Linked DNA regions of Sus scrofa. The protein of the gene in region 2 purifies or fractionates together with the protein of the main gene of each other region. This does not show direct contact. Links are inferred from orthologs where the notes say so. Each region holds a gene or a part of one and is shown on either strand. Other genes may lie near its edges.

What was found.
Region 1: the proteins of IFT81 (region 2) and IFT74 purify together in Homo sapiens (affinity purification with mass spectrometry; 3 studies listed by BioGRID and IntAct, counting the BioPlex papers as one, with this or other methods). This does not show direct contact. The link is inferred for Sus scrofa from reciprocal best matches to the Homo sapiens genes IFT81 and IFT74.

The regions. Positions count from the first base shown.
Region 1 is NC_010443.5:196,156,880-196,160,379, forward strand, and holds part of IFT74 (intraflagellar transport protein 74 homolog), read right to left. Parts: intron 3,404-3,500; coding exon 3,355-3,403; intron 1,934-3,354; coding exon 1,835-1,933; intron 1,671-1,834; coding exon 1,610-1,670; intron 1-1,609. UniProt on the Homo sapiens protein: Component of the intraflagellar transport (IFT) complex B: together with IFT81, forms a tubulin-binding module that specifically mediates transport of tubulin within the cilium. Binds beta-tubulin via its basic region. Required for ciliogenesis.
Region 2 is NC_010456.5:31,523,048-31,526,547, reverse strand, and holds part of IFT81 (intraflagellar transport protein 81 homolog), read right to left. Parts: intron 3,330-3,500; coding exon 3,226-3,329; intron 2,541-3,225; coding exon 2,360-2,540; intron 1-2,359. UniProt on the Homo sapiens protein: Component of the intraflagellar transport (IFT) complex B: together with IFT74, forms a tubulin-binding module that specifically mediates transport of tubulin within the cilium. Binds tubulin via its CH (calponin-homology)-like region.

The DNA.
Region 1 (3,500 bases), on a different chromosome or scaffold from region 2:
CATAAAAAAGAATGACATAATGCCATTTGCAGCAACATGGATGGAACTAGAGAATCTCATCCTGAGTGAAATGAGCCAGAAAGACAAAGACAAATACCATGTGATATCACTTATAACTGGAATCTAATATCCAGCACAAATGAACATCTCCACAGAAAAGAAAATCATGGACTTGGAGAAGAGACTTGTGGCTGCCTGATGGGAGGGGGAGGGAGTGGGAGGGATTGGGAGCTTGGGGTTATCAGACACAACTTAGAATAGATTTACAAGGAGATCCTGCTGAGTAGCATTGAGAACTATGTCTAGATACTCATATTGCAACAGAACAAAGGGTGGGGGAAAAATGTATACATGTAGGAATAACTTGATCTCCATGATGTACAGCGGGAAAAAATTAAAAAAAAATTTTTAAATCTTTCATCTAATACCATTTCATATTTTATAAAAAAATCTATTTTTTATTTGGAACAGAATACCATTTACAAAAAACTGCATGGAGTATTACAGATTATGTAGTCCAACCAGTATGGGAATTACATATACTATAATCAGAGTTCATGAGTACAATATAACAATATCAAGTAGGTATATCATAATTTACCTAATCATTATGGTAGCATGTTTCTTATTTTGTGTAACACTATTTTCTTTTGGCTGTTGCCATGGCATGTGGAAGTTCTGAGGACCAGGGATCAAACCTGCACCAGAGCAATGACCCAAGCCATAGCAGTGACACATGCTAGATACTTAAGCTATTGAACCACCAGGAAACTACTGCGTAACACTATTTTTTAATTGGAGAAGGGAGATAAAATTTTGCAGTAAATCCAGAGACCACTGCTGCTTACAGTACCTACAGAATTAGAAGGAAGAAAATTCTGACACTAGAAATTTTCATGGGCCAAAGATTACCTCAACGATTGAGGCAGTAATCAACACTGCCAAAGGGATTATTTCTTCTGGAAGTCCATATTAGGATCATCCTTGGTGGAACAATATTTATGTTAGATACTCTACTCTGACAGAAGACAAACACTGTATTTTGGTTTGTTATTTTTTTAGCTGTGCTTGTGGCATATAGAAGTTTCTGAGCCAGGGAATGAACCCACGTCACAGCAGCGACCTGGGCCACTACAGTGACAACACCACATTACTTAACCTGCTGCACCACAGGGGAACTCCCACAAACACTGTATTATGAATGAAACATATGGATGAAGGTAAGTAATTACATTTCTAAAATTTCATGAGGACAACATTGCATAGGGAGAAAAATATTTGGAAAACGATCACATTGCTAGTACCTGATAAATTTTATCCACTTTAAAAATTATTACTTTAACACTGTTATGGGGAAAAAAAAGTCTGTGTGTCTCTGTATTTTTAATATAATGTATTTTTTTTAAAAAATGGAAGAATACATATCAATCTATTAAGACAAATTATTTCCGGGGAGGAAGTGAGGGAGAAAGCAAAGGGGCACTGCATATGGTTTCAACCTTTCTCAATAAGTATGTACTCATGTATTATTTGCTACTTAAAATCACATTTTTAAAGTAAAAAGCAATGAAAATATTTGAAAGAAATTCACTCAGAAAAGACTAAATACCATGTTGTAGTCTGCTAGTTGTCCTTGAAACTCTTTGATTTCAACAGCTAAAGTCTCAGCTCTGCAAACATAAAATATATACATGCATAAACACATGAAAGCAGATGAATGTTATTAATATTACGTATAACTAAAAATTTAGTATTAAACTCCTGAAACATATTACATTAAATGTTACTAATAATAAGAAAATACCTTGCATATTTTAACTGCAAAATTACTTACCTCTTTTCATATGACAAATATACTGAATTCTCTTGATTGTACATTTCTATTTCTTTTTGAAGTTTATTAATTTCTGTTGTAAGTTCACTTATTTTACTTCTAAGCGAAAAGAAATTAAAAAGTCAGCAAGACTTCCAATCCAGAAAAGTCTTTCTAGTCAAACAAAACAAACTTTTCATAAATGTACAATAATAAAAATGGTTTTGTAAAATTTCACTAAAAAAACAATTTAAGTTGCTTATTTGATTAAGGAGGAGGTACAAGATATATCCCAAATGATAAACTGATACAGATTCTCTACTCACTAAAAAAAGATGAAATAGTACCAGAATGGAAACCTGGTCAATCTGGTATAATCTACAGACAGAAGTAGATGCCTAATTGTCACCCTCACAGCTCTTGCTATCCTCTAGAACAAGGTTTCTCAAGTGTAGCACATTTAGTTAGGTCTTTGAATGATACTTTGGTGGGAAGTGGTAGGGTATACTGTGCACCACATGATGTTTAACAGGATCCCTGGTCTGGATGCCAGCAACATAGCCCCCAGTCCCAGTTATGACAACCAAAAATGTGTCTAAAAATTGCCAAATGTTCTTTGGGGGCCAAAATCGCTGCCAGTTGAGAACCAGTTCTAGAGTCAATTACACAAGTAGGTAAAACTATTTTTTAATACAGAAGCACAAATCCTGGAGAAGAGAGGCAACGAAATAATGAGAAATAGCCCTATCTCCCTTCCTTCTTTTAATTAAAAAGTGGCTGGATATTAAAAGACGTTATTCAACTGATGGTCTCACTATCTTTGTTACTGCTGTTAGCTTTGAGGACAGATGGGGAAAGCCTACCTTCTTTTATTGCCTTCTAGGAGTTTGAGAATCAAAAGGATTCAAGTAATTGAGCAACAAAAGAACTTAGAAGAAAACAGAGTTTGCAGGACACAATAGAAGGATGCATTAAATGGAATGCAAGTAAGAAAGAAAGCAGATATAGAGAATGGGTGAACAAGAAAATAAACTGGAAAAATGGAAATAAGACAGTAGGGTATATGAGAAAAGAAAAAGGTAGGTAGAAAAAAAGAAAAAAATCTTAATTTAGAGCTGCATACTTAGAGATGTATAACAAAGCTTATAAATGAAAACTATACCATATTTATAGCAACTGACAATGTATATTTATGTAAAACTGTACTATTTATTATAAAGTATATAGATTTTCCCATTCTTATTAGATGTATGATTAATATATTTCAGCTTAGTGAAAGAAGCATAAAAGATTATTCTTATTATTACATAAAAACAGTGAATCTAAATACATAGTTCATATACATTCAAATACATAAAATTTTAAATTTCAGCCCAATTGATTTATCATATTTTGTGATATTATCTATTTACAGCCAAATTAACCAGCAATCATGTTAGAATACAAAATAATTCTTAGAAATCAATAGACACCTAGTTATCTTAATAAGCCGTAGATAAAACTTCATGATCATGCATAGAAAAAAAGAGTATTTAACATACCGAAGAAGCCCAAGATAATAAGATTTGTCTAAAATTTGCCTCTGGGGACCTAAAAAAAAATTTTTAAGTATTAGTGTTCACTTTGAAAATGCCACCAAAATACCAAAGCTCAACCAGAACTATATGCTGTAATTCTCTGATAGCCT
Region 2 (3,500 bases):
TAAGGATCTGGCATTGCCGTGAGCTGTGGTGTAGGTTGCAGACGCGGCTCGGATCCCGCGTTGCTGTGGCTCTGGCGTAGGCCGGTGGCTACAGCTCCGATTCGACCCCTAGCCTGGGAACCTCCATATGCCGCGGGAGCGGCCCAAGAACCAAGAGATAGCAACAATAACAACAACAAAAAGACAAAAGACAAAAAAAAAAAAAAAAGAAAAAAATCACAACTCATATAAAAATTTTTAAGTAGATTTTTGGTGGATAATGACAGGAAATTAATAATATTCTTTCTCGACTGGTCATATTCTGCAAGTACAAAAATCAATCATTCTAAAACTCTTCATTTAGAAAAACAATGTGCATTTTTTATTAGGCTCTCTGCTAAATGTGTCTAAGTCACTTTATTTTTTATTTTATATTATTTAGTTTTTTATGTTTATTTTTAATTTTTGTCTTTTTAGGGCCGCACCTGGGGCATATGGAGGTTCCCAGGCTAGGAGTCTAATCAGAGCTGTAGCTGCTGGCCTATGCCATAGCCACAGCCACACCAGATCTGAGCTGTGTCTGCAACCTACACCACAGATCACGGCAATGCCAGATCCTTAACCCACTGAGCAAGGCCAGGGATCGAACCTGCAACCTCATGTTTCTTAGTCGGATTCGTTTCCTCTATGCCACAATGGGAACTCCTGTCTAAGTCATTTTATACACACATCTCAAATATGCTTCAAGAACAAACATGTCTTTATTACTATTATCCCTTCCATTAATAATTAGCTGGGGTGTTTCCACGTGGCACAATGGGTTAATGATCCAGCCTGTCTCTGTGCAGGCAAGGGTTTGATCCCTGGCCCAGCACAGTGCATTAAGGATCTACTGTTGCTGCAACTGTGGCATAGGTTGCAGTTCTGGCTCAGATTTGATCCCTGGCCTGGGAATTTCCATAGGCCATGGATGCAGCCAAAAAAGAAAAAAAGAATTAGCTGGGCATGCCTGGTAAAAACTATTAATAAACTTCCTCCAGAGGAATTAGTTTCTATCAAATTTACTGAGGGGGGAGGGTAGGGAGGAGAAAATGTTTTTACACCTCTCTATTTCTTACATTATGTAAAGCCTTCAAAGGTAGTGCTGTGGTGGTCTCGTTCTTCTGTACTTTTCTCAAGGCATCTACTATAACATTTGACGTAATTGTTTGCATAAATTTTTCAACCCCAGAAATGTCTTAAGAGATCAGTACTGACTCTACTTCAAATGATAGCTATGGCTATGCAAAATAACAAAATACATGGATGAAAAAATATATGGTTGATTGTTCCAGTTCAGTCCAAAGTTTGAGTACATATCACACAGAAGCAACCCTATAAAACCATGAAGGAAAACAAAGAGACAAGACGGGATACCTGTCTTCACACATCTCATAATCTATTGGGAGAGATAGATTGACAAACTATTCACAACAAACTGGTACAAATCAGTCTATGAACCTACTATGGAATAAAAGTACAAATGCTAAACAGAGACAATTTCTTTTCTCTTAAATCAAAGTCCTTTGAAGTCTTAAGCCTAAATTCTTTCCATAGTCTTTGATCAGCAATGTGCTTTGAAATCTCAGTTACAGGAGCCAGGTCAGCTAGAATCCTGAGTAGTCAAGAGTTTTAGGACCTTAAAGCCAGAACTCAGTATCACCCCAAAACTCTGGTGGTGAAGGTACACTGAAATTGCAAATTCCTGGTCCTTTCTCTCCTTCTACTAGATTGGCATATCTTTTGAGATCATAAGCCTGGCATCTTTGCCCACAAACAATCTTTGAAGGTGTTTACATGTTCCAATTTGCCTGGGATAGTGTCAGTTTACACCTTTTGCTCTGGTGTAATTATTATGATAACCCCTTTGCTCTCTGATCTGGATGACAAATTGTGTAGTCACCCAACTGATCAAGAAAATGCTCTGTGTTTCCAAGCCTAGGATCATACCTACCCACAATTCTTCTTTTTTTGGCCACACTCCTAGCATGTAGAAATTCCCAGGCCAGCAATCAAATCTTGACACAGCAGTAACAATATCAGATCCTTAAATCACTGTGCCACAAGGGAATTCCTACCCACAATTCTTAAGTAATAAATTATTCTAAAATCCTAATTTCAGGAGTTTTTTTCATTCCATATAGTCTACCACTTTAATAGTACTTGTGTGCAAAAAATCAATATTTTCATACATGATTGCAGCTAAACATTAGCTGATAAATATTTTACCTTTTGATGTCACTGGAAATACAGAGACAACAAATAGAGATGAACATATACTGAACATGTGTACTCTGAAATCCACTACAGATAGTTTAAAAATACCACATATATTTTATACCTGTTTATTGGTATCAGCCACAGTTTCGTCCTGAAGAAACTCACTTGGTACCTCAAGTTTTATTAAAAAACGAGCTAAATATGCTCTTTTCTTCAGTTCATTAGTCCTCTGAAGAAGCCAGTGGAGCACTGGGTAAATTACAGGTTTACTTCCAATCACTAGACCCTGACGGAATGTACTCCTATTAAAAGAAAATACACACACATACACACACACAGGTTTGTAAGTAAATCTTGAAAAGAGATAACATTTGCTCAAAATCCAGTTTCCACATTCCTGACTGCTTTCCATAACTATTTAAGAAAGATAAAACCAAGGCTATTCTAAAATCTGCACATTAACAATAATCATAAAATTAGGCCCTTAATAAATTACTGGAATATACAAGAAGGTTGTTTTAAAAACCATTAACTGGTACAGTCAGCCTTAATACCTCACTTCATTGTCTGGGCATGTTTAAGTTATTGTTTCTGTTTAGGAAGGCAGATAAATGATAAAATGGAAAAGTGGATTTGCCTCTTTTTTTTTTTTTTTTTTTTTTTTTTTTTTTTTTTTTTTAAGTTGTACCTGTGGTATGTGGAAGTTTCAGGGCCAGGGATTGAATCAAGCCACAGCAGTGACAATGCTGTATCCTTAACCCATTAAACTACCAGGGAACTCCCTGCCTCACTTTTTTGATTAAGAGAAAGAAGTGATACAGTTAAGGCTTCTGCATGATGAAATAAAAGTTCAAGATTACTTTGAAGTCAGTGATTTTCTAAGGCCAATGACTTAGGGAAAATAGGTTATTACCTAGAAAAACTGACTCTGAAGCTTTGGTTATTAAAGCATAGCTCTAAGAAAGTAACACTTGAACAGATTCTTACATGTCCGTGGCACTTCCTGGAGGTTTGTATTTAAGGATGCCAAGAAGGCTCAACATCCGCTTGGCTGTCTGCTCTGGCATCTCCTCTCTGATATCAACATCTTGCTAACAAATAAAAAAATTGAAAAATGTTATTACTGTATATTTAACACAGTACAGCATTCAAACTCACTCACAAAATTGTTATGCTAGAGCATTAAAGTCACAATGGTCTCTTCATAAAACAGATTAAGTATGGAGGCCTCCAGATTCCAAGTGAGGGTACATACAAGTCAG